Linked DNA regions of Cricetulus griseus. The protein of the gene in region 1 purifies or fractionates together with the protein of each later gene. This does not show direct contact. Links are inferred from orthologs where the notes say so. Each region holds a gene or a part of one and is shown in the gene's direction. Other genes may lie near its edges. The genes, in order: Prpf8, Hnrnpu, Snrnp70, CUNH9orf78, Bcas2, Eapp and squamous cell carcinoma antigen recognized by T-cells 3.

The links.
Region 2: the proteins of Prpf8 (region 1) and Hnrnpu fractionate together in Homo sapiens (co-fractionation; 3 studies listed by BioGRID, with this or other methods). This does not show direct contact. The link is inferred for Cricetulus griseus from reciprocal best matches to the Homo sapiens genes PRPF8 and HNRNPU.
Region 3: the proteins of Prpf8 (region 1) and Snrnp70 fractionate together in Homo sapiens (co-fractionation; 3 studies listed by BioGRID, with this or other methods). This does not show direct contact. The link is inferred for Cricetulus griseus from reciprocal best matches to the Homo sapiens genes PRPF8 and SNRNP70.
Region 4: the proteins of Prpf8 (region 1) and CUNH9orf78 purify together in Homo sapiens (affinity purification with mass spectrometry; 4 studies listed by BioGRID and IntAct, with this or other methods). This does not show direct contact. The link is inferred for Cricetulus griseus from reciprocal best matches to the Homo sapiens genes PRPF8 and C9orf78.
Region 5: the proteins of Prpf8 (region 1) and Bcas2 purify together in Homo sapiens (affinity purification with mass spectrometry; 3 studies listed by BioGRID and IntAct, with this or other methods). This does not show direct contact. The link is inferred for Cricetulus griseus from reciprocal best matches to the Homo sapiens genes PRPF8 and BCAS2.
Region 6: the proteins of Prpf8 (region 1) and Eapp purify together in Homo sapiens (affinity purification with mass spectrometry; 4 studies listed by BioGRID and IntAct, counting the BioPlex papers as one, with this or other methods). This does not show direct contact. The link is inferred for Cricetulus griseus from reciprocal best matches to the Homo sapiens genes PRPF8 and EAPP.
Region 7: the proteins of Prpf8 (region 1) and squamous cell carcinoma antigen recognized by T-cells 3 purify together in Homo sapiens (affinity purification with mass spectrometry; 4 studies listed by BioGRID, with this or other methods). This does not show direct contact. The link is inferred for Cricetulus griseus from reciprocal best matches to the Homo sapiens genes PRPF8 and SART3.

What each region holds. Positions count from the first base shown.
Region 1 is NC_048600.1:88,960,612-88,963,387, forward strand, and holds the end of Prpf8 (pre-mRNA-processing-splicing factor 8), read left to right. Parts: intron 1-1,137; coding exon 1,138-1,278; intron 1,279-1,382; coding exon 1,383-1,522; intron 1,523-1,627; coding exon 1,628-1,830; intron 1,831-1,964; coding exon 1,965-2,119; 3' UTR 2,120-2,276; downstream 2,277-2,776. UniProt on the Homo sapiens protein: Plays a role in pre-mRNA splicing as core component of precatalytic, catalytic and postcatalytic spliceosomal complexes, both of the predominant U2-type spliceosome and the minor U12-type spliceosome.
Region 2 is NC_048598.1:15,817,816-15,821,836, forward strand, and holds the start of Hnrnpu (heterogeneous nuclear ribonucleoprotein U), read left to right. Parts: upstream 1-1,221; 5' UTR 1,222-1,431; coding exon 1,432-2,044; intron 2,045-3,063; coding exon 3,064-3,175; intron 3,176-3,262; coding exon 3,263-3,336; intron 3,337-4,021. UniProt on the Homo sapiens protein: DNA- and RNA-binding protein involved in several cellular processes such as nuclear chromatin organization, telomere-length regulation, transcription, mRNA alternative splicing and stability, Xist-mediated transcriptional silencing and mitotic cell progression.
Region 3 is NC_048599.1:154,300,798-154,304,729, reverse strand, and holds the start of Snrnp70 (U1 small nuclear ribonucleoprotein 70 kDa), read left to right. Parts: upstream 1-1,132; 5' UTR 1,133-1,343; intron 1,344-1,603; exon of another isoform or gene 1,604-1,706; intron 1,707-1,980; 5' UTR 1,981-1,990; coding exon 1,991-2,137; intron 2,138-3,932. UniProt on the Homo sapiens protein: Component of the spliceosomal U1 snRNP, which is essential for recognition of the pre-mRNA 5' splice-site and the subsequent assembly of the spliceosome. SNRNP70 binds to the loop I region of U1-snRNA.
Region 4 is NC_048599.1:142,695,128-142,699,375, reverse strand, and holds the start of CUNH9orf78 (telomere length and silencing protein 1 homolog), read left to right. Parts: upstream 1-1,448; 5' UTR 1,449-1,532; coding exon 1,533-1,615; intron 1,616-1,930; coding exon 1,931-1,990; intron 1,991-3,522; coding exon 3,523-3,574; intron 3,575-4,248. UniProt on the Homo sapiens protein: Plays a role in pre-mRNA splicing by promoting usage of the upstream 3'-splice site at alternative NAGNAG splice sites; these are sites featuring alternative acceptor motifs separated by only a few nucleotides. May also modulate exon inclusion events.
Region 5 is NW_023276806.1:53,787,774-53,791,746, reverse strand, and holds the start of Bcas2 (pre-mRNA-splicing factor SPF27), read left to right. Parts: upstream 1-1,173; 5' UTR 1,174-1,241; coding exon 1,242-1,334; intron 1,335-1,420; coding exon 1,421-1,513; intron 1,514-3,571; coding exon 3,572-3,642; intron 3,643-3,973. UniProt on the Homo sapiens protein: Required for pre-mRNA splicing as component of the activated spliceosome. Component of the PRP19-CDC5L complex that forms an integral part of the spliceosome and is required for activating pre-mRNA splicing.
Region 6 is NC_048598.1:147,621,302-147,624,236, forward strand, and holds the end of Eapp (E2F-associated phosphoprotein), read left to right. Parts: intron 1-127; coding exon 128-241; intron 242-1,914; coding exon 1,915-2,182; 3' UTR 2,183-2,435; downstream 2,436-2,935. UniProt on the Homo sapiens protein: May play an important role in the fine-tuning of both major E2F1 activities, the regulation of the cell-cycle and the induction of apoptosis. Promotes S-phase entry, and inhibits p14(ARP) expression.
Region 7 is NC_048597.1:93,397,029-93,400,528, reverse strand, and holds part of squamous cell carcinoma antigen recognized by T-cells 3, read left to right. Parts: intron 1-497; coding exon 498-575; intron 576-692; coding exon 693-751; intron 752-1,623; coding exon 1,624-1,733; intron 1,734-2,929; coding exon 2,930-3,042; intron 3,043-3,500. UniProt on the Homo sapiens protein: U6 snRNP-binding protein that functions as a recycling factor of the splicing machinery. Promotes the initial reassembly of U4 and U6 snRNPs following their ejection from the spliceosome during its maturation.

The sequences.
Region 1 (2,776 bases):
CACTGACTGTTCTTCCAGAGGTTCTGAGTTCGCTCAATCACAGAATGCTTGCCTGGCATGCTCTAACGCCCTGGGTTCAGTTTCTTGAGAAGAAAAAAAACCCAGCAACTTAAAGCTGGTGAGGTGGCTCAGTAGGTAAAGCATCTCATACAAGCCTGACAATCTGAGTTTGATTCCCTAGAACCCCTGTAAAGGTGGAAGGAGAGAACCTATTTCACAGACTTGTCCTCTGACCTTCACGCTCACTCAGTGGCATACACAAGTCCTCTTACATACACATACATAATAACAATACATTGAAATTTCTTTTTCTTCTTCTTCTTTTTTTTTTTTTTTTTTTCTTTTTTGAGACAGGGTTTCTCTATGGCCTTGGAGGCTGTCCTGGAACTAGCTCTTGTAGACCAGGCTGGTCTCGGACTCACAGAGATCCGCCTGCCTCTGCCTCCCAAGTGCTGGGATCAAAGTCGTGCACCACCACCGCCCGGCCACATTGAAAATATTTTAAAGTTATTTTTATTTTATATTATTGGTGTTTTGCATGCATGTATGCCTGTGGGAGGGTGTTAGATCCCTTGGAACTGGAGTCACAGACAGTTGTGGGTGTTCTCTGGAAAAACAGTCATAAACACACACACACACACACACACACACACACACACACACACACACACACACACACACACGGGTGTTTTGCTACACATATATCTGCACCATATGCATGCAGTACCTGTAGAGGGCAGAAGAGAGTGTCAGGTGCCCTGGAACTGGAGTTACAGACAGTTGTAAGCCACTGTGTGGATGCCAGGAATCTGTCCCAGGTCTTGTGAAAGAGCAACCAATACTCTTAACCACCGAGCCATCTCTCCAGCTCCAATTATAAATTTTTATGAACTTTTGGATTCAGTGGCTAGAGAGAGGCACTTGCCACTAAACCTAATGACCCAAGTTTGATTTTCCCAGATCCTGGGGACAGTTTAAGATGAGGTTTATGTGTAACATTTTGAACAAGTAACCAGATGATTCTTCCCCAGCAGTTTTTGACTGTGTTTTGACAAACTAGCTTTTTCTTGGGAATGGGAAGAAATTCTGGCATTCTGTGTTGGTACTGAGAATCGTTTCTGATCCCCTCATTTCTAGATTGCAGGGTACCTATATGGGGTGAGTCCTCCAGATAACCCTCAGGTGAAGGAGATCCGCTGTATTGTGATGGTGCCTCAGTGGGGCACTCACCAGACTGTGCACCTTCCCAGCCAGCTGCCCCAGCATGAGTACCTCAAGGTTTGTGGTGGTGGAGCCTGGGAATTGAACTTACTCTCATGTTACCCTAATGGGTGGCATTTGTCTGCAGATAGGTTGAACAGCTCTTTGCTCTTTGCCTGCAGGAGATGGAACCCTTAGGTTGGATCCACACTCAACCCAATGAGTCTCCCCAGCTATCACCCCAAGATGTCACCACTCATGCCAAGATCATGGCTGACAACCCATCTTGGGATGGCGAGAAGACAATTATCATCACCTGCAGGTGGGTATGGGCCTCCTTGAGTGGAAATATTTTAAGGTAAGTATTGCAGGTCAGAGCCTGGATTTGTGGCCTGAGCTCTCAGCCTGTCTTTTTCCCTCCCCCCAGCTTCACCCCAGGCTCCTGCACACTGACAGCCTACAAGTTGACCCCCAGTGGCTATGAGTGGGGCCGACAGAACACTGACAAAGGCAACAACCCCAAAGGCTACCTGCCCTCACACTATGAGAGGGTCCAGATGCTCCTCTCAGACCGATTCCTCGGCTTCTTTATGGTTCCTGCCCAGTCCTCCTGGAATTACAACTTTATGGGTATGTGGTTGTATGCGACAGCATGGGAGCGTGGACAGGGTAGGGGTGGAAGTAGGAGAAGCCAGCACTCTTGGCTCTTGGGGTCTGACTGCCCAAGGACCCTTGTTAACATCTGATGTTTCCCCCTCTCTAAGGTGTTCGGCATGATCCAAACATGAAATATGAGCTGCAGCTGGCAAACCCCAAGGAATTCTATCATGAGGTCCATAGGCCCTCCCACTTCCTCAACTTTGCCCTCCTGCAGGAGGGTGAGGTCTACTCTGCAGACAGAGAGGACCTCTACGCCTAGTTATTTTCTTGCTTCCTTCTGCTTCGGATTCCCCAAAGGCTGGAGCCCATAGACAAGCTGCTGACATTCAGCAGCCTGGCCCCTTTTGTGTTTTGTGTTTGTGTTGTTGATAGACTGTAATCCTGAACAAAATGTAATAAATTTTGTATAAATAGGAGTGCTGTTGTTTTCTTGCTCTTATGAGTTCAGATTCTGGGTGTAAATTACTTTGGGGACTGGCTTGGGCAGTTCACAACAAAGTTCTGGGCCCCGGCCTTCAGGCCTTTGAGGTTCCATATACCCTAGACTGAATTGGGCCTGGCTTTCATACTCCACTACCTTGACCATATTTGTTGGTTTGTGTTCTTGGAAACCACCTATTTTCAACATCGCTTCTAGGACTCTGGTCCTGTAGCTGTAATGCCTGGCCTTGTCCATTTGTAAACCTTGTCGTTCCTGGTGGGGTAACAAGCACATCGGTGGCTGTCCCAGCAGTCCAGTAAAGGCTATTTGCTGACCTTCAGTCTTTCACCTCTGGAGTGCTTGGCAGCCAAGTCTAGGGGTGGAGCCTGGATCAGGCACTACGGGGAGGGTTTGCCTAAAGTGACCACTTATAGCCCTGCCTCTCAGCTCTTGGATACCTGCCTGGAAGTTGGCTGTCCTGCCTGTATCCAGTGA
Region 2 (4,021 bases), on another chromosome or scaffold:
TGGGAGATCTGCCTGCCTCTGCCTCCCTGGTGCTAGGATTAAAGGTGTGTGCCACCACTGCCTGGCTGACTGAATTCTTGATCTTCTTGCCTGCATCTCCCAAGGGTTGTAATTATAGACCTGTATAAACACACCTATTAGGCACAATCTACACAGAATGGCCCGTGCAGAAAATAAATTCTATTTCTACCTAAAAGTTTCAAGAACATAACATGTTTTTAATTACAGAGAAAAATAGCAACAATTTTTTGTTTGTTTGTTTGAGATGGGGTCTGTCTGACTATACAGCCCAAGGCGGCCTGGACTTTACTATGTAGCCCTGGCTGGCTTTCAACTCTTGATACTTCTGCCTCAGTCTGCCAAGAGATAGGACTGCAAGTGTGTAGACAACTCAGTGTGTGTCTGAAAAAACGGGGAGAATCAAAGTGCATTAAAATTTAGCTGGATGTCCCTCTCATGGTTAACTAAGGGAAGTCCTTCCTGCAAGAGGCCTGTCTTTACAGTGAGTCTAGGGGAATCTTCCATGCAATTCTAGGGGTTACTCAAGGGTCACTAGTAAAGACGGTGAGAAGTGCACAAGGCCCACACTGCATGCCGTGCGGCACGGAGCGGTAGGGCAAGCCTGCGCCTCCCCAGGCCTTGCACCACCGGGTATGGAAGAGACAAAAGAAACGCTGGGGCCTCGCCCTTGCGGAACTTAAAAAGTCCGATCGGCAAGGCAGGGCTTGTAAAAAATTAAACTGCAATGAAGTGGAGGAAGAAAAAAACAAAACACAAAACAAAAAACCACCTCTGTCTAACAGCCGCTTATTTGTGCTCTGCGGAGCAGCAGCGGAAACTTGGCGGAGTCTTAAAGCGAGAGCCGGAGGGACAGACAAAAAAAAAGACAAACTAAGATGGAAGAAAGGAGGGTGTCCTCCAGCGGGAAATGCCAGATGAGGACGCAGGGCGGGTGCAGGGGAGCCTCCTCCGGGCCCACGGAGGCGGACGGCCCGTGGAGCGCGGCCGCCGAGAAGCCGGAAAGGCCGGCGGCCGCCGCGGCCAGTCGGTTTAACCGAAAGGCGGCTTCCTGAGCCTCCATTTGCGCGCCGGGGCCCAGCGCCGAGGTCGCCCCGTGGGGGCGGGGCGGGGAAGGGGCGGGGCCTGCGCGCGCAGCCGCCCTAGCGAGCCCCGCCCCGGCAGGGGGCGGGGCGCCTATATTACGTGCGCGGCGCCGCCCCGGCGAGAGGACGTTGCGTGCTCGCTCGCGCCAGGCGAGTCTCCGCGTCTTGCCTCGCGAACTCGGTGAAAGGAATTGGCGCCGTTCGACACCAGGCGGGTCCGCTCTGCAGCACTCAGCCATCTCCAGCCGCAGCCGCCGCCCGGGCCGACCAGCAGCCGCCGCCACAGGCCGAGGGAGCCAGCAGTCCGCGGTGAACCGGGGCCCTCACCATGAGTTCTTCGCCTGTTAATGTCAAGAAGCTGAAGGTGTCGGAGCTGAAGGAGGAGCTCAAGAAGCGGCGCCTCTCCGACAAGGGCCTCAAGGCCGATCTCATGGATCGACTCCAGGCCGCGCTGGACAACGAGGCCGGCGGCCGCCCCGCCATGGAGCCCGGGAACGGCAGCCTCGACCTGGGCGGCGATGCGGCCGGGCGCTCGGGGACGGGCCTCGAGCAGGAGGCCGCGACCGGCGCCGAAGACGACGAGGAGGAGGAAGGCATCGCCGCCCTGGACGGCGACCAGATGGAGCTGGGCGAGGAGAACGGGGCGGCGGGGGCGGCTGACGCGGGCGCGATGGAGGAGGAGGAGGCGGCGTCGGAAGACGAGAACGGCGACGACCAGGGCTTCCAGGAGGGGGAGGACGAGCTCGGCGACGAGGAGGAGGGCGCGGGCGACGAGAACGGCCACGGGGAGCAGCAGTCCCAACCGCCGGCGGCGGCCCCGCAGACCCCGCAGCAGCGCGGGGCCGGCAAGGAGGCCGCGGGCAAGAGCAGCGGCCCCACCTCGCTCTTCGCGGTGACGGTGGCGCCGCCCGGGGCGAGGCAGGGCCAGCCGCAGGCCGGAGGTAGGAAGGCGGAAGGCGGCGGGTGAGGGCTGCGTGGTGGGCGGGCGGGCGCGCGGCTTGTAGGCCCGCGTGGGGACCGTGCCCCAGGCCGGCCGGGGCCCCAGGGGCGAGCGACGCGGGCGGGCGGGGGGGGCGGGGGAGCCCCGGGGCCGCCGAGAGGATGGGCTCGCCATGCCGGCGGCGCCTCCTCCATTATGTGTGTCGGGCGCCGGGGGGAGCTGCAGCTGCCGCGGTGGGGGAGGAGCCGGGCGGGAGCGGCGGCCGCTGGAGCGCTGCGTGCGCGCGGTTCGGGCACATGTCTGGGGGGAGGGGGAAGGTCCCGGGGCGGGCGGGCTTTGGCGGCTCAGCGCCGCGGTATTGTGCAAGGAGCGCAGGGGCTCGGTGTGACGTCACTTCCGGCGGGAGGCGCCGGGCGCGGGGAGTGAGGCGGAAGCTCAGTACAATGCGGCGGCGGGGCACGCGGGCTCGGATGGGGGAGGGGAGGCGGGCCCACGCTGCCCTGCCCTCCCCCCCACACCCCCCGCCGCCGCCGCGCGCACGGCGCGCAGCACGTGGGCCCGGACGGCGGGCGCGCGGTTTTAGTCCTTAAATGCATTCCGGAAGGTTACCCTAGGCTGGCAGGATTAGCAGCGTCTTTAGACTGCGTCACCGTCTCCAGTGCAGTTCCAGGCTGATGGATACGATTTTTTCTAGATTCATATTAGTTTCGTGGGTTAAAAAGTCTCAGAACTCGCCTGGCGTTGGTGCCATACGCCTTTTTCCCCAGCACTCGGGAGGCAGAGGCAGGCGGATCTCTGTGAGTTCGAGACCAGCCTGGTCTACAAGAGCTAGTTCCAGGACAGCCTCCAAAGCCACACAGAAAAACCCTGTCTGGAAAAACCAAAAATAAAAAAGTCCGAGATCCAGTCTAGGAGGGAAAAAATAACAGCCCCTAAAAGTCCCGGAACAGAAACGGGAGCTTTTCTCTATAATTCAGTCTGTGGCCTGATGATTTAAGGCTGTGTTCTGTGTCGTTATAGGAGACGGTAAAACAGAACAGAAAGGAGGAGATAAAAAGAGAGGTGTTAAAAGACCGCGAGAAGATCATGGCCGAGGATATTTTGAGTACATTGAAGAAAACAAGTACAGCAGGTAGAGGATCCTAACCTAGTTTTATTTGTCACCCAGTTTTTATGCGTGGTTGGGAAAGCTTTATCAGGAGACGATTCTGTCTTTCAGAGCCAAGTCTCCTCAGCCACCTGTTGAAGAAGAAGACGAACACTTCGATGACACAGTGGTTTGTCTTGATACTTGTAAGTGAAGCAAACTTTCCCGCTCTTTTTCTCAAATATTTAAGTGCAGTGCTATTTTGGTTTAACTCTTAGGAAAAGTGTGTTTGTATATCTTAAAGTGGAGAAAACCCGTTAGATTGTTTTAAATCAGGAAGATAATAGCTCATGTTCAGGTTACAGTAGTTTTATGTTTAGCGACACTTCAGTTGTATTGCTGTTTTTACAAGCTCTACTAATTGATACTTATGTCATGGAAGTTCCCAATATTTAGGGATGTAAAACTAATACCGATTTTTGTTCAGCTTTCAGAAACTTGTTTTTAAAACCTGCCTGTAACATGTCCTTAGATAGGTAATATGAAAATTAAAATTTTTCTGTGGAGCTACTATATTAAGTGAGCTATTTGGGCTAGTTGAATACTTACTAACGATTTTCCCATTAGCGCACAAGTACATTCCCTATTCTAAGGATTGTCATATTACCTTTTCAATAACTGCTCTTTTGTTCTCAATTCCAGTTCAGTAGCTGCTGCTCTAACATAAGTTGATTTCTTCCAAAGACCTGGGGCAGCAGCAGTGGGCTATCTGAGCCACTAGCTTTCTTCAGCAGCGAATGGTATCAATGGCAGCGCTGTAAATATGCTACTTTAGAGTATGAGGAAGTATTGCAAGCCATGAAATGGGCTTTAGCTGTCAGATTTGTATTT
Region 3 (3,932 bases), on another chromosome or scaffold:
AGGACCTGACTTCAGGTGCTAGCACCCAATATGAGAGGCCTGGAACAACATATAACACCAGCTCCCAAGGGCTACACCTTTTTCTAACCCCTGGGGGCACCTGTAACCATGTGCACACCCCCACCACAGACTGACAGAAAAGACACACAATTAAGAAAACACAACCCTGCTGGGTATGGTGGCACGCCCATTTAATCACAACTCCCAGGAGGCAGAGACAGGAAGCTCTCAGTGAGTTTGAGGCCAGTCTGGTCTACAGGGTAAGCCAGGGCAACCAGGGCTACACAGTAAAACTGTCTCAGAAAGCCAAAACACATACACACACACACACACACACACACACACACTGCAAGGTAATTTTGAGCCAAACGGTGAAACCTTGTGTAAAAAAATAAAGAAAAATAAAACAACAGAACACACAAAAAAGAAAACCCACTAAACAAACGTATTATATTTCCAAACAATGTAAGCTCCAAGAAGACTATTTTGTCACATGTTGTGTCCCTAGAGTTCAAACAGTGTCTAGAACATACAAGACACTTGGGAGAGAACTTATCCATTAAATAGAATTTAAAAGCAATGACCCGGGATGGAGAGATGGCTCAGAAGTTAAGAGCACTGGCTGCTCTTCCAAATGTCCTGAGTTCAGTTCCCAGCAACCACATGGTGGCTCAGAAGCATCTGTAATGAAATCTGGTGCACTCTCTGGCCTGCAGGGACACATGCAGACAGAACACTGTATACACAATAAATAAATCTTTAAAAAAATGAATAAATAAAATAAAAGCAATGACCCTGATGAGGTAGGTACTTTTTAACAGTCTGCGGAAGGATATTCCACCTGGCACTTTACGTTCACGCATGCGTACAGGGTCCGGGAAGTGTAAGGGGAAAGGGGTGGGGCATCAGTAAGTGTCTCGCGGGCATAGGCGGTTGGCTAGAGCGCGAGGTGGGTGCCGACCTAGTGCCTGAGCACGCATGCGCACGTCGCTTGCCAGGCCAAGGCAGCCTAAGCATTGAAGGACTCTGACGGCGGAGTCTTGGCTTTGCGCGTGCGCAGTGCTCGCTGTAGAGCCAAGACCTCAAAATGGGTGTCTTTTGACTCGTGCGGCGCATGCGCGGTGCGTGCGGCGGAGGGATTCTAGACCGGATCCCTCTCCGTTCCTGTCGCGAGCCGAGGCCGCGCGGGTTGTGAGGAGCGGCCTGGTTTGCGCGCGCGGCGCGGACCTCTGAAGGTAGCTGACGCAGACGCCGCCGAAGTGGAAGCCAGAGCGGGAGTTTTTGTTGGTGAACGGCGGCCGCGAGGCCTGAGACTAACGTCAGGCCGAGGAGAGCGCCGCGCGGTGAGTGAGTGAATGAGTGGCCTTAACGGGGTTCGGGTCCGCTCTACCCACAAGCCTTTGCGGGGTCCCCGAACTCTCTACCCGCGCCTGAGGCCCGCTTACCGGGTCCGCGCTTCAAACCACCCCATCCTTTACCCAGAGTCCCCTCAGCGTCCCCCTCCCCCTGCCTCTCGCGGTCCCCTACCCACAGGCCCTTGCGTTTTATGTGTTGCCTCTTTTCCTCGCTTTTTTTTTTTTTTTTTTGTCGCATCCTGGATCTGTACCCATAATTCCGTTCGCCTCTGGGATCCTAGATATTTTACGCAGATCCCCTGGCTTGATCTTTTTGGACTACCTTGAGACCCCTACCTCGTAATCTCCAAGGTATGAGGCCAGCAACCCTCTGAGCTTAGTGCTTCAGGTCTCTAGGTCCCTCACCTCCTGATTCCTTTTCCCTTGTTTTCTGTGTTTTTAGTCCTTTGTTTCTCAGCTCCTGCCAAGACCGACCTTTTTCGTGCAGATGTCTTCCACCGGCTCACCCGGGATAGATAGCAGCGTCCTCGTGATCTCTCCTGTCTGCTTGTTTGATTTTGAGTGAAGGGGTTCTAGAGGGAACCTCCTGTGCTAAAGTTCCCTAACCTAAGGTTTCTGGTCTCAGGTTTGGCAAGATGACACAGTTTCTGCCTCCCAACCTTCTGGCCCTCTTTGCCCCTCGAGACCCCATCCCGTACTTGCCACCCCTAGAAAAGCTGCCACATGAAAAACATCACAACCAACCTTATTGTGGCATTGCACCATACATCCGGGAATTTGAGGTGAGTAAAGGGAGACATGGGGCCTACTAGAAGGGCTTGGGTGCTGAATGAGAGCAGGCTGCATTTTGGAGTAGAGATTTTAAACATATTTTAGTTTTGTGGTTTATGATTTTACTTTTCTTAATCTTGTTTTTGCATTTGTGTGCGTTCTATTTCTTTTATATTAAGTTTTTAATTTATTAGTTTTTATCTTATATGCATTGGTGTTTGGCAAGGATGTCAGGTACCCTGGAACCAGAATCACAGACAGTTGTAAGCTGCCATATGGGTGCTAGGAATTGAACCCTGGTCCTCTGAAAGAGCAGTCAGTGCTCTTACCCACTAAGTCACCTCTCCAGCCCGTCATTAAGTGTTTTTGTTTTTCGTTTTTCTAGACAGGGTTTCTCTGTGGCTTTGGAGTCTGTCCGGGAACTAGCTCTGTAGACCAGGCTGGCCTCGAACTCACAGAGATCCACCTGCCTCTGCCTCCCGAGTGCTGGGACTAAAGGCGTGCGCCACCAACGCCCGGCATCGTTAAGTTTTAATTACACTTGTATTTGTGGTGTGTATGGATGTGTGTGTGCAAACCTATAAACCTATAAGGGGGCAACTTGAAAGAATCAGATCTCTCTTTCCATTGTGTGGGCTCAGGAGAGCAAGCTGAGTTTGTTACCTTTGGTGAAAAGGGCCTTAACTTGCAGAACCATCGTGCTTAGCCCCTTTGTTTGAGTTTTGAGACAGAGTTTTGCTATGTAGTGTAAATGGACAGATCTACAGACCTCTTAGTGGCAAGCTTCATTCTCCGACCCTCAAACAGGCTTTATTTGTACAAGCAAGACATTACCACAGTGTAGCTCAGAGTGGCCTTGATGGTATACCAGTCCTACTTAGGTTCCCAAATGCTGCAGTTAATGGGTGTCCACTTCCAGGACCAGCTAATTTCCTTTATTTATTTTGGATGTAAGATAAACGGAAAAATTAAGTAAAAAGAAAGAAATGTAATAAACAATACCTATCAAAAGAATTTTTTAAAAACTTATTTATTTTAAAAACTTATTTATCATATGCATGCTGCTTCCTTGGTGCCATAAAGCCCCTGGAACTGGAGTTACAGACAGGTGTGAGCTGCCATGTGGGTGCTGGGAATTGAACTCAGGTCCTCTGGAAGAACAGCTGGTGCTCTTAACTGCTGAGCCATCTCTTCAGCCCCATTTTGTCTTTTTTTTTTTTTTAAAGCTTGCAGAGATACATCTACTTGGCTTTGTGCTCTCAAGTACTCAAGTACTGGGATTAAAGTCTTGTGTCTCCACTCTTTGGGGTTTCTGTTTGGAACTGTGGGGAGTTGCAGAATTCCTTTGGGAGCCATGTAGCTTTTTGTTTTGTTTTGGTTTTGGTTTTGGTTTTTGAGACAGGGTTTCTCTGTGACTTTGGAGCCTGTCCTGGAACTAGCTCTTGTAGACCAGGCTGGCCTCAGAACTCAGATACCCGCCTGCCTCTGCCTCCCGAGTGTTGGGACTAAAGGTGTGTGCCACCACTGCCCAGCTACACTGCCTCAGTTTCTTGAGTGCTGGGATTAGAGGTGTGCACCCCTACCACCCTGCTTTTTTTCTTCTTCTTCTTGCCAGGTAGCTTTGGAACTGTACTTTACAGCTATGTAACTTATGTTACACTCTGATGAAGAACAAATGTCTACCAGTCATTGTAGGTGCTTTTTTGTTTTGTTTTGAGACAGGTTTTTTTTCTGTGTATCCTTAGCTGTCCTGGAACTCACTGTGTAGACCAGGCTGGCCTGGATCTCAGAGATCCACCTGCCTCT
Region 4 (4,248 bases), on another chromosome or scaffold:
AAGCTGTTTCAAGACATCCCAGTCTTCTTTGTCCTAGTTTAAGAGGAACGACAACCTCAGAGAAAATTGTTCTGGAGAAAAGCCAAAGCATGGCAGACATGCCTCCCTGCTTTAGAATAGTTTTCCAGAAAAAAGTCTCCATCAGTCTCCCGCCCCCCCCCCCCGCCCCAGCCCATGAACTGGAATGCCATAGAGGCCCGCTGTCCCTGATGCAAATCCCACAGCTGGGAAAACTATGCCCCCACCTGAGCTCCCCTTCCCAGCTGTGTAACTTGAAGCACAGGTTACTTCTCTAAGCCTCAGCCTTCTCTAACTTCCTCAGTTGGAAGACAGACCCAACTGCATCTACTTCGTGAGATTAGACCGGAGACTTTTAGGAGAGAATGCTTAGCCCTGCCACAGTTAAGAAGTGCTTTGCTCCAGAGGAAACTAGTAATTAAGGAGTCCCTATAAGTCCCATGTGAGCCATTACGCATGCACTTATCCATCTCCTAAGTGTTTATGGATACCTTTGAAAGCTAACTACTCTCGCAACATCTTGGCGGTGGAAGGTGTGTAGGACAGAGCGAGTCCTCCAGGCCAAAGGAGACACCCCGAGCTCTCGAAGGGCAGTCCCCGGCTTCACACCCTTGGAGAGGCCTCTGAACGTCAGTGGCATCCCTCCTAGGGACCAGTAGCAGCAGACCACCCTGGTACGGGGGAGTTGGTATCGGGACTGATATTCACCCCCGCCAAGGCGCTCAGCTTTTGTCCGTGAGAAATAAATTTGCACATCTGAGGCCCAGAGCCCGAGTGGCCTCGCGCTGGCCTTCCGAGCGACGTGCGGCCTGCTCAGGAGAAGCCAGGGCCGTGGGGACTTGGGGCGGACACAGGAGCCGGTCGATGGGAGGGTGGGCGGCGGGGACCTCTCCCCAGATCGCGGCTGCCCCGCAAAGCCAGGCCTCCCCAGTTCGCAGCGGCGGCGCGATCGTCCCTGCTCTAGCGGCCCAGCCCACCGCACCAGGCATCAGCCGTCCGGAACTCACCTGCCGTCGCAACCGCGCCGCCTGTCAGTCAAGCGCGCCCACCGCGACGCCGCGCAGAGTCTTGTGGCTCTGCCTGTCGTGCCCCGCCTCCCTACCGTCAGCTGTCCAATCGAGAGAGCCTATGCCAAGGACGGGGCGGGGTCACATGGCGCTGCCTACTAGGGGGCGGGACCGTGCGTGCTGGGGGCGTGGCCGTGCGAGTACTGAGTGCCCATGCATGCTGGGAGTAGGGGGAGTGGCCGTGCTGCTGGGGCGTGGCCACGTGGTTCGAAGACTGTCTTGCTGGTGGAGGGCACAGTCTCGGCGCTGGGGCGTGGCCACGCGGCTGTACCTGCCCTTGCTTTTTGGAGTTGGGAGCTGGTGGCTATGCTGCTGGGGCGCGGCCTGGACACCCGGAGGCGGGTCTGCATGCAGCCGGCCCTCTGACGACACTTCTGCGCGCCGGAAGAGAAAGAGGTTCCCGGCACTACGCGGCAGGTAACGCCGCTCCTAAGATCTGGTGCCGCTATGCGGATCACTGGGAAGACTTTCCGCCGGCGGCGGGCTGACTCGGAGTCGGAGGAAGATGAGCAGGAATCAGAGGAGGTTCGGTACGTGTTTGGCATGACCTCCACGGCCCAGGAAGAGGGAAACAGCCTTGGGACTGGCTACCGGCCGGCACTGCGCTGACACCACTGACCGGGAGCCAGGGTTGTTGTCTTTCAGAGGCTCCTGCTGATAAGGCCACATTTCCCCGGTCCCGAAGCTCGGAAAGGTGCTCCGGGGTCGCATGGGTCTGACTGCCGGTGATCCACAGTGCCAGGGACTCGGCCGAGAGACACGGATGTCCCCGGAACTGAGTTAAGCTTTGAGTTCCGCAGAGGATCTCTCAGCCTGTGCATTGCTTTTTATTCATTTCCCCCCAGGTTAAAACTTGAAGAAACCCGAGAGGTGCAGAACTTAAGGAAGAGGCCAAACGGGGTGAGGTGGGTACCATGGGGGTGGGGGTGGCGTCATTTATTGATGACACAGATACTTCCAGCTAGGGTCTCAGTTACAAATATCTCCTTCGACATAGTTCTTTCTCTAGACATACACCTTGCACTGGTCGAAGAGGGGACCAGTTTTTTTTCAAATGTGTAACTGCCACATGCCCTGAGCCTGGTGGTATCAGAGTCTACTCCAGGTCACTAATTGCTTTTTGGTTTTTCCAGACAGGGTTTCTCTGTATTGCTTTGGAGCCTGTCCTGGAACTTGCTCTGTAGACTAGGCTGGCCTCGAGCTCACAGAGATCCGCCTGCCTCTGCCTCCTGAGTGCTGGGATTAAAGGCATGAGCCATCACCACCACCCTGTTGCTAATTGGAGTTGTTTTTTTTGTTTTGCTTTGTTTTTCAAGATTTTATTTATTACTTATACAGTGTTCTGCCTGCATGTATACTTGCACACCATTGCAGATGGTTATGAGCCACCATGTGGTTGCTGGGAATTGAACTCAGGACCTGTGGAAGAGCAGCCAGTACTTTTAATCTCTGAGCCATCTCTCCAGCCCTAATTGGAGTTTTTAATTGCACGGATGAATTGTGAATGACAACGTGTTGACAGATAAGAGTTTAGAAAAATTAGAGAAGTATAATTAAGAAATAAATGATTTCTGTGGTGGTTGTTGGTGCATGCCTCTAATCCTAACCTGGGAGTTTGAGGGCAACCTGGGTTATATAGACCCTATATTTAATTAAATATAGACCCTATATTTAAGAACTTTGTGGGAGCCGGGCAGTGGTGATGTGCACCTTTAATCCCAGTGCTCTGGGAGGCAGAGGCAGTCAGATCTCTGTGAGTTTGAGGACTGCCTGGTCTACAAAGCCAGTCCCAGGATGGGCTCCAAAGCCACACAGAGAAACCCTGTCTGGAAAACCCAAATTATACTGTGATTTCCAGGCTAAAATGAAATCAAATGGCTATGCAGGAACATGCACAGCTGCTTCCTTTGCCTTTCACCCTCCCACTCAGTGTGCTGAGCACTGTGTTCTTTCCTACCTACTCTTGGGCATGCCCTTCCATCAGTGCTCTAGCCTGCAAACCTGATTGTCCCAGATTGCTTCCTATGCTGTGACCATGACACAAAACCACTTGCAGAGGAAAGGTTCTGATTACATTCAGTTATTGGGGGAAGACAAGGCAGGAACCCAGAGGCAGGAACTGTAGCAGAGAGCATGGAGGAGCACTGCTTACTGGCTTGCTTCCCAGGTTTACATTCAGCTGTCTTATACAACACAAGACCACATACCCAGGGGGAAGGGAGCCCTGCACACAATGGCCCTCCCACACCAATCACAAGTAAGAAAATACTCCTCAGGCTTGCCTACAGGCCAACATGATAGAGGCATTTTCTCAATTGAAGTTTCCTCTTCCCAGGTGACTCTGGCTTGTTTCAGTTGACAAAACAAACTAGCCAGCATATTGATTGATTTCCTTCTTGTCTCTGTGTCATTTCTTTGTCTGTTTTCTTTTGCTCAGTGCTGCTGCCCTGCTGGTGGGAGAGAAGGTTCAAGAGGAGACTACTCTGGTGGTGAGTGTTGTCTCCTCTCTGGGGCTGTTCTTCTGTGAGTGTGTCTCTAATGTATAACCATGCTGCCAGGGAGATGGCTAGTCAGAGTGCTTCCTGTGCAAGCACAAGGGTCCAAGTTTGGATTCCTGGCACCCACATGAAAAACTGAGAATGGTGACACATCCCTATAATCTGAGCACTGGGGAGGCAGATTAGGACGATGTGCTGAATAAGAAAGCTAAGATACCCTCTCTCAAAGTATAAGTTGGGGGAATGGCTTTGTGGGTAAAGTGCTGAAGTTCTTGCTGCACAAGTTTGGGGACCTGAGTCAGGCCCCTAGTACCCAGCACAAAAGCTATACATGATGGCATCCATCTGTAACCCTAGCAAGGTTTGGAGTAGAGACAGTTGGAGCCCTGGAGCTGACTGGCCAGTGAGTCTACCCAAATCAGTAAGTTCTCTGTCTGAGATATTTAAGGTGGAAAGTGATTGAGGCAGATGCCTGACTTTGGGCTCTTGCCTCCACAACCACACATGCATACACACAAACATGTATATACACTGTCCACACACAAAACTAACAAACATGGTCACATACAAAGTAAGAAAAGCTGGGTGGTGATGGCATATGCCTTTAATCTCAGCACTTGGGAGTCAGAGTGAGAGACCAGCCTGGTCTACAAGACCTAGTTCCA
Region 5 (3,973 bases), on another chromosome or scaffold:
CACAAGAGCGCCACCAACTGGGAGTGTTCAAATATGTAGGTCTAGGAGAGGCAGTTCTCATCAAACCACAAGTTGTGAAGCTCTTTCACTTTACTTAAACCTATAGGCAGCACATTTACATAATGTAAAATCATAAATACCCATATCAATCTTAGAATAACCAGGCTTATAGCTGAGACCAACTTTTCTAACAGATAAGCCTTGGTTGAATGCCCATTAGGCAGGACACATAGGTCCAACAATCTTTTTTGCATTTACCTCTTAGTTTTGGGGTATACTTAACAGAGAATGTATACTAGTTACAGCCTGAGGGGAAGGGAGCCTAGGAGGATCACTATTACCACAAATCCTAAAGGCAAAATGATTGGGTTTTATGTAGGCCCCAGAGACAAAAACATGGCAAAGCTTTTTAAGCAAAGCATCCTGTAGACAGAATTCCAGTCCTTGGAAGGATGAGGTGTTCATTTGTAGCGCTGAAGATTGAGATGGGGCTTTACCACTGAGCTGTCCTGGAACTCGAGCTTGTAGACCAGGTTGGTCTCTAACTCACAGAGATCTCCTGCCTCTGCCTCCCAAGTGCTGGGATTAAAGGAGTGTGCAACCACTGCCCGGCTTACCCCCAGCTTCTTTTTGTTTTTTGTTTTTTCGAGACAGGGTTTCTCAGTATTGTTTTAGAGCCTATTCTGGAATTGGCTCGGTAGACCAGGCTGGCTTCGAACTCTCAAAGATCCGCCTGCTTCTGCCAACCGAGTGCTAGGATTAAAGGCGTGCGCCACCAACGCCTACCCCCAGCTTCTTTAAAGGGCGTGGGAAGTATATTTCTCCCCTCCAGTGAAGTCCAGCAACCACCTCTTGAAAAGTTCCCACGCCCCAATTCTCAGTCTTTTAAACCCCTCTCCCTCCTACTATGCTAGTCTCACTGCATTGCTAGCATCTATGTCTAACTCAAAGGGCATGTCTTGCCTCCGGTCTGCCCTGTTGTTTTTCTCTTAAACTCGAATAAAATCGTCCTCGTAGCCATGGAGGAAAGACAGGCATAATCCCAGGTCTACCGGGACGTCAGTGCGCAAGGCCTCAAACAAAACAGTCCTTAAGACCTAGCGGCTACAGAATCAGCCGCTCTGCACACGGCCCGAATCCGAGAGGCGGCGCTGTGTGTGACGTCATCCCGCGCGCAGGCGCAGTGGCATAGCAGCGAGCCGGCGCAGACTGACGGCGTTGGTGGAGCAGAGTGCCGCGCAATGGCAGGCACGGGTTTGGTAGCCGGGGAGGTGGTGGTGGATGCGTTGCCGTACTTTGACCAAGGCTACGAGGCTCCCGGCGTGCGGGAAGCGGTGAGTATGGGGCGCGTGCGGGGGTGGGGGTCACCCGAGGCATGGTTCCCTTTCTCGCCTTGACCCCGGTTTGTTCTCTTTCTTAGGCTGCGGCCCTGGTGGAGGAGGAAACTCGCAGATACCGACCTACCAAGAACTACCTGAGCTACCTGACAGCCCCGGATTATTCTGCCTTTGAAGTAAGTGCGGTGTCCTGAGTCCCGCATCCTGACCAGGATTCTTGCCGGCTTAGATTTCGGATTGAGGGCTTTAGCTCTGGAAGCAACTGCTGCTTGCTGCTCATGTTGCATGTCAAGATCAGTTGGTTCAAAATAGCCAGATGAGCTTTCCTCAGGGTTCGTATTACAAGAAATACTTTATTGGTTCTGCAGACTTGTTTAATAAAATATTTGGGTCTTTTATTTTTAAGAGTCCCTAGTAAACTTCCCTAAAGGACCCCTTATCCTTTATTCTCTAAGGTCCAGTCAAAAACAGGTAGTAATCACGGGATTTTAATATTTATAATCTTAACTACCTGTACTCTTTGCAACCACTGAAGGGAGATTTTTGTAACAAAACTCAGATAGTTAGCGGATATATGAATGCCTGAACAAACATGCCTAACTGCATACCATTTAAAATTGTTATCCTACAAGTGCAACCAAAATACCATTTAGGTCCTAATCAGGTGTTCATTTGCAAACTTTTAAATGCTTTAATACATTTTTTCTAACCTTTTAAAATGCAGCGCGGTTCCTGCCTTTATAATTAGTGTTCTGGTTAATTTAATACTTTCTTAGTAGTTGTTAATGGTGTATTGAACTATTTTTCCTAGCTCAGAAAATGGTCCTATGAATTACATAACTGTTCATTTTTATTCTTCTGCCAATTAAGGTTTTTAAGGCTGGAACTCATGCTAGCCTATAACTCACTAAGACAGGTCAGCTTTGAACTTGGGATAATCTTCCTGCTTCAGGCTTGTGAGTGTTGGAATTACAAGTGTAAGTCACCATGTCCAGCTCTTGATGCAGGATTGTGTGTGTGTGAGTTTAGACAGAGCCTCAAGTAGATCAGGCTGGCCTCGAACTCACAGAGATCCGTCTGCCTCTAGGTGCTGGGATCAAAGCGTGCGCTGCCACCCCCTATCGGAAAAGCTTTTTAATTTGTTGCAGTTGCATGTATGAATTCTTGTTGCTTCCTAGACTACTGGACTCCTATTCAGAAAGTGCTTATGTACTGTCTATGCAAACTGAACAGAATATGCAATGTATTACAGAACAGAATAGGCACAGTTCGTATCCTCATAATACTTAGATTCTAGTTTTGAGATGGGCAGATAAATTAAAAAGTCTCGGATATTTTTGATAAATGCCAAATAGAAAATTAATGATGTTGCTGGTTGGCTGTGGCCCACACCTTTAATCCCAGAACTCGGGAAGCAGAGATAGGTAGATCTCTGTGAGTTCAAGGCCAGCCTGATCTACAAAACAAGTTCTAGCACAGCCAGGGCTACACAGATGTGATAGCAACTGGGTGACTGTCATACATTAATTAGATGGTTGAGAGAGGTTTTTCAGGCAGAGAAACTGCTCCCTGTGTGGGGTTAGTTGTTGTGATACCTTCCTCATTTAGAACCCAGGTTACAACTGTGTTGTAACCCCTCCCGGGGTTTTTATAACTCCATGTGATTAGTTCAGAAATCAAGTCTCAAATCCAATGTTTCATCTTGTGACTTTATTGAAGTCGAGGTTTTAAACTGGAGTATGTGGGATTTACACTGTGTCACACTACACAGCACTAGAGACTGCCTGAAACATTTGGCTCAGATTCAAGGCTCTCATATGTTGTGAAATACAATGTAATGTGTGGCTGGGTAAAAGTTGTCTTCACAGCTCCACAACTGATTGCAGTGCATTGAAAACTGCTGATTGAGGGTTAATCCTTAACACACAGGTTCTTTTATGTTTGCCTCCTTTTGTGCCTGGGCAGACTATAGAATTAAAGTGGGTGTCTATTTCTTCAAGACCCTAGATAAAATTAAGCCCAGACCCAAACTGGGGGATGGTGAAAGTGTAGCATAGTGGGAGAACATGTGTGAGACCTGGGTCAAATATTAATATCCTTTAAAAAGGGAGATGGGGTTGGTAATTGAGAGAAGCAAAAAGATCCATTATAATGTAGTACAAAGTATAAGATCTCAGTAAACATTATTTTCAACCTGATCCTGGTACTAATTCTTTGTGTTGTTTCTTCATCAGACTGACATAATGAGAAACGAATTTGAGAGGCTAGCTGCTCGACAACCAATTGAATTACTCAGCATGAAGCGGTGAGTGAGGTTAGGCTTGGGGGGAACTCGACAGCGGTGGCTGAGGTTGGGAAGAGCATTGCCAGCTGTGTGGAGGCCGTGAGCAGTGAGATTAGAAGATACAGTGCTGCCAGTTATAAACATGATCACGGCCTTTTTTCTTTAAACAAAAATGTTAGCAAATATAATACATTTAAGCAACTTTCAAAAAGATGGTAAGGCAGACTTTACCCAAGAGGGGTCTCATCTCAACAGGGATGAGAGACATCAGAGTCTCTGTGACTTTTACAGGTTAACTAGTTCACATTTATGAAAATTTTTTTTTTTTTTGTTACAGCATACAGTTGTGTTT
Region 6 (2,935 bases), on another chromosome or scaffold:
TCAATCAGAAATGTAAATAATAATAATGAGTAATTTCTCTGAGTACTGATTCCTTTTTCTGGACTGTGACATTAGAAACCAGGATTTAGTTGATTAATGTATTTTTCCTTTTCAAATTTATTTTTAGTTACCATGCTTTTGGATTGCAGAGACCCCATCAGAAACAACAGCCTGTTCCAAACAGTGATGCTGTTTTGAATTGCCCGGCCTGCATGACTACACTGTGCCTTGATTGCCAAAGGTAAGGGACAAAGGTAAACATATAACATGGACCCGAGTGAGTGTGCCCCACGATAGAACAAACCTTCCCCAGAACCAAAACAGTTCGGTGGGCCTTTGCTTAAATCAGAATTAGACTATTTTTGTTGATTATGTAGACATTTATTTGACCAAAATCTAGAAGAGTAGTAACTATAGCATATGATACAGTTGCAAAAATTTAAAGAACAAAGTGGATTTGCTAAAAGGTTACCTCTGTGGTAGTGTTTTGCTTAAAAACAGGAGTGAGAGCTGGGCGGTGCTGCACACCCCTTAACTCCAGCACTTAGGAGTCAGAGGCAGGAGGATCTCAGTGAGTTCGAGGCCAGCCTGGTCTACAGAGTGAGTTCCAGGACAGCCAGAGCTGTTACACAGAGAAACCCTGTCTCGAAAAAATAAACAAAACAACCCCCCCCCAAAAAAAACCCAACCAAACAAACAAACAGGAGTGAGGGCAGGGGTTCAGATAAATTAGAAGCAGATAATTTTTAGCCAGGATGGTAAGCTTGAGCTTAGCAAACCCACTAAGTTTAAAAACAAATTTAAAAATTGTTATAGAAATAATTATTTTTTTCTGGGATCAAAGTTGCTTCCCTCCTCCTTTATTTTTTATTTTATTTTATTTTGTTCTTTCAAGACAGAGTTTCTCTGTGTAGGTGTGTACCACAATCGCCTGGCTTTTCCCCTTTATTTTTATTGTGTGTTTACTGATGCTTTGCTTGCACATATGTCTGTGCATTGTATATGTGCAGTGCCCACAGGCCAGAAGAGGGTATCAAAACCCTTGGGACTGGAATTACAGATGGATGCAAGCTGCTATGTGATGGTGGAATCAAATCCAGGTCCTCTGGAAGAGCAGCCAATGTTCTTAGCAGCCAAGCCATCTCTGCAGTCCCTAAAAGTTGTTTTTAAAGCAATAGGAAAAAAAAAATGCTGTTTTCTAGTTAGGTCGCAGAGGTTGGTGGTGAAGGGACACTAACTAGCCCACTCAAGCAGGTGCCTCTGGCAGGCCTTGACCTTCTCCCGGATTCCCTCTGCCTGGCGAAAAAACTGTTAGGTTACATTCCTAAAGCTAGCCACCAAGGTCTATTCCCTTACTTCCTCCTCCTCCTGAGACTGACTTCTGAGGTCCAGCTATCAAAGTATTAAAGTCCAGCCATCAAAAGCCCCCTTTGGTTCACCTAATTAACATGCCCAATTAAGATATGCCACTGCAGGGAGCTGGAGAAATGGCTCAGTGGTTAAGAGCCTTGGCTTTTTTTTTTTTTTTTTTTGAAGCAGAGTATCTATGTAGCCCTGGTTGTCCTTGAACTCACAGAGATCCCCCTTCTTCTGTCTCCTGAGTGCTGGAATCTAAGGTGTGTGCCACTACACCCAGCCTTACGTTCCATTTAAGAAATATATGTCTCCATGGAGTGGCGGTGCATGCCGGCATTCTCATTACTTGAGAGGTTGAGACAGGAGGATTTTCAGGTTAGCTTTCACAGCTCTGTCTCAAAAAAAAAAGAAGTAAATAAATAATTCTTTCAAATTTCCTTAAATTTCCATTTCACTCCCCTGTCTTTATTTTGGTGAATATTCATGTTAGGGGTTCTCAGAGTTGATCTAAAAATGACAACTATTAAGTCCTAACTCTCCATTTCATTCTCCCTCTAGGCATGAATCCTACAAGACTCAGTACAGAGCAATGTTTGTGATGAATTGTTCTGTCAACAGAGAGGAGGTTCTAAGATACAAGAATCCAGAAAACAGGAAGAAAAAGCGGGGTGCTAAGAAGATGAGGTCTAACGCTGAGGGTCCTGTGGAGACAGAAGAGGAAGAAATCTACCATCCTGTCATGTGCACAGAGTGTTCAACTGAAGTGGCAGTCTACGACAAGGATGAAGTCTTTCATTTTTTCAATGTTTTAGCAAGCCATTCTTGAACCCTATCTCAAACAGGTAGTGGCTTCCCAGCACTGTATAAAGCAAATATGGACTCTTATTTTCTCTATCATTCAGTGACACTGATTAAAGCAGTATTTCATCTTTATGAAAATGGTTATCCACCTCTATCTCCTCACTCTTTTTGCTTTGTAATTTTCCCATGAGTAATGACGGGGCTGATCATTTCATTTTTGGTGCATCTTTGGAGACTTTGGTACTTCTTATTTATTAAATTAGCTTCCTAGAGTTAAATTGTTTTGGAGTAAGTGTTTGTTTCTTAGCGTTTGATCCATTTTCTATTGCCGTAACAAAGTACTAGAGGTTGGTGCTTTATAACGAAATGAGTTAGGGCTTAGCAAGATGGCTCTGCATATGGCGTGCAAGCCCGACAACCTGCCATCGTTCGAGCCCTGGAGTCCTCAGTGGAAGGACATGCTGACTCTCAAAGTTTCCTCTGACTGACTTAAGCATGCGTGCACGTGCACACACACTCACACAGAGGACCCGGAAAGTGGGGCGTGTTGACCATTTGGTGGGGTAACAGAATTGGGGCAGTAAGTATGAGCAAAGTTCAGTGATATGCATATGGAGTTGCCATAATGAAACCTGTTTTGAATGCTTACTAAAAGCAACATGAAATAAAACACTACTAAGACCTATTGTTCATGTCCTTTCACTTAGAAAAGAATCTTGAGATATCAGACATTTCCTGAGGCTATTTGTGCTGGACTCAGAACTGTGCTACAGTGCTC
Region 7 (3,500 bases), on another chromosome or scaffold:
ATTATACAGTGTTCTGCCTGCAAGTATGCCTGCAGGACAAAAGAGGGCACCAGATCTTTTTATTTATTTATTTATTTATTTATTTATTTATTTATTTATTTATGTATAGTGTTCTGCCCAGGCCAGAAGAGGGTACCAGGTTGCATAACAGATGGTTGTGAGCCACCACGTGGTTGCTGGGAATTGAACTCAGGACCTCTGGAAGAGCAGCTAGTGTTCTTAACCTCTGAGCCTTCTCTCCAGCCCCTGCCATGCTCTTTTAAATCTTTGTCTCCAGGATCCCTGTTCCACACTGTGGTGGACTTACACAGCCCCATGCCACCTGCCTGTCCCTGATGTGCAGCATCTGTGTTTATCACTGCCACCCCGTCTTTCCGTCATTTATTACAGTGAGAGGAAATGTGACTGAGGTTCCTGTGTCCATAGTGGGTCTTCATGGTTGTGGTGTGAGACTTCAGAATGGTGACTTCATGGAGTTCCTCTGCCTTTTTCAACAGACTCTAGCAAGGAGCTGGAAGAGTTGCGGTCCATGTTCACACGTGCTCTGGAGTATCTGCAGCAGGAGGTGGAGGAGCGTAAGTGTCCAGCCTGCTGTCTGCCCAGTTGTCTTGACTGTTCTTGCTCGCTGAACCTCTCCTCACCTGGGGTGCTTGCTTCATGTCTGTCCTAACTGTTCCGTTCCATTCTGAAAGGTTTCAGCGAGAGTGGAGATCCAAGCTGTGTGATCATGCAGAGCTGGGCTCGGGTTGAGGTGAGCATCTTCACAGCCTGTTACTCCCTCCTCTGAGGGCTTTGTTCAGCACTCAGGAATTGGGGGACAGAATCTGAGGGTGTGGTCTACGAAGCAGCAGTGCCTGGACTCTGGCTGTGGATCCATCCACCTCTTCAGCCCTTCCCTCACTGCTTGAGGGTGTACTGAGTGTGTGCTGTTCACCAGTGTGCTGAGGGTACTGTGAGCGAGCTGGTCTCTGTGTGCTAAAGACTTTAACCTTGTCCAGAAGATGGACTGTGTGAGCAGTAGAGGGTACAGGTGGATGCTGTTCCTGAGCCAGGGACACCGAGCAGAAAGAAAAAAGAATTATAAAATTCAATAAGATTCAATCCTGTTCCATGATGGCAGTTGGGTCAGTGAAACTCACCTGGATGTATAATTCTCTAAGATTTTTGTTAAATTTTGAAGGATGAGAAACAGACTGCACTTAGGTGGTGGTACTAGTTCAAATCACATAACTTTGAGTTAGCGTTTGCTGCTGATGGATTATTATCTTCCTCTGTAATGCTTTCCAAGTAAACATTTGTAGTCAAGTTTATATAAAAAGTAAATGGCTGCCCTGCCTCACGTTTGCAAGACCTCTCTGCAGAACCTTTGTCTCTGGCTTCAGAGCCTTTCTGTGCTGCAGGCTCTGTCCGAGACTCAGCTCTGTGCACACCTGTGAGGCTCACTGCTGCAGAGAGGCAGGCAGCCAGGCTTCAGGCCTTTTAGTGCTAGAGGGAGGCCTGGGACCTTCAGGTGTTCATGGGACACAGTCATGGGGTAAGGAGGAGTGTTTTTGGCATATGGTGTGGATATAGCTGTGATAGGATGCAGGGCCTGTCCCACCTGATCTTGCTAATGTATTTTAGGCTCGCCTGTGCAATAATATGCAGAAAGCTCGAGAACTCTGGGACAGCATCATGACCAGAGGAAATGCCAAGTATGCCAACATGTGGCTGGAGTATTACAACTTGGAAAGGTGAGTGACTCAGGGCAGGTGACATCTGTACCCATTCTTGGCTGAGGTGACTTGAGCCTGCTCCTTGGGATGGGTACCCTCCTGCCTCTTCCTTTAGCAGGGCCCATGCCTGGCAAGTCTTGAGGACCAGTGTTTTGTGTGGGGGTGGGGAGGCTCATAGCCCATGAAGTTCTTCTAAGCTGTTTGCTTTTTCTTTTGAACATGCCTGCTTGGACTCTTGTGGGTTTTTTTTTTTTTTTTTTTTTTTTTTTTTTTTTTTTTATTGCATTTGTATAGGAAAGCTCAAAGCACTGAAAGAGAAAAGAGAAACACCAGATTAGCTAGGGGTTGCTGTCTAGACTTAGTGTTATTTATGGGTTAGGGTGGGCTCCTGGATGGTGTGTTTGTAGTGTGTGTGTCCAAGCTGTGATCATTCTAGATTATTGAATTCAGTAAACTACACCTAGTGGGAATACAAAAAAACAAGACCTTGCCTTTCCTCCTTTCCTCCCAAGATTGAGACTGTGTATAGCTGAAGAAGTAAGTCTGCAGCCCACCAGAGTGCTCTGCACACTACTGATCCAGATGGTTTAACTCCATGCTCTGAGCCTTGAGGCTGGCCTTGAAGCCATGGTGATTCACCTACTCAGCCTCCCCAAGTGCCTGCCAAGATGGCAGGCATGAGCTGCCACCACTCTGAAGGTTTTGAGTATGCTCATACATGCATGCATACATACATACATATATACGTATGTACATACATACATTTGCTCTGAAGGTTTTGAGTATCCACATGCATGTATACGTGCATTTGTGCCAGTGTGATTAGCAAATCTTAATCTGTTAGGGTAAAACCTGGCTCAGAGCATGGAGTTAAACTATCTGGATCAGTAGTGTGCAGAGCACTCTGGTGGGCTGCAGACTTACTTCTTCAGGAGCTAAATCAGGGTGCATTCGGTTGATGCATGGTTCCCTCCCATGTGCACAGAAGGCCTGGCTAGAGGCTCTTGTCTGAGGTGTATCCCTGGTGCACCTGCCTGGCCAAGGGGAAGCATGTGTAGGGGAGGCCCTCCCTCACAACTGCAGAGGCTTGTGGCAGGAGAGAAAAGGCCCTGGTGCTTCTGAAAGCCACTGTCGTAGGGCTCTTCTGTCTCAGCAGTAACCTGTCACATTCTTTGCTGTGGGCCTTCATGGCAGCTATTTGTTCTCTGCTCTAGGGCACATGGTGACACACAGCACTGTCGGAAGGCTCTGCACCGAGCTGTCCAATGCACGAGTGACTACCCTGAGCATGTCTGCGAAGTGTTGCTCACCATGGAGAGGACAGAAGGTGGGACTCTGCTTCTGCTTCTGGCTTGAAGTGTGGTCCTTTGGCCAGTAGTCTCCAATGGAAACATCTGGTCTATAAGGACAGGTTGGCTGCTTGCCCGTGGGAGTGAGTTCTCTTGCAGTAGTCCTCAGTCTGCAGACACAGGAAGGGCTTAGGTGCACTTGTGGCTGACCTCATCAGTTGGTACCAGTAGCCGTCCTCCCCACCACAACCACAAGGGGACTCCTAACAGATGTCCCCCTTCTGGGAGGAGCCCACATGAGAACTACTGCTCTAGCAGTGTGGGGTACTCGAGAGGCAGGGCTCAGCATGCTGTTTGGTCCTTATGGAATTTTAGATTCTTGGTGCTGGTCCTAAGCCATAACAGAACTTGGGAAGACTGTGGGTTTTTCCATGGGCACCTGTCTGGATGGGAGTGTGAGCCTGAGACCTGTAGGTGACACCCAGAACAGAGATGC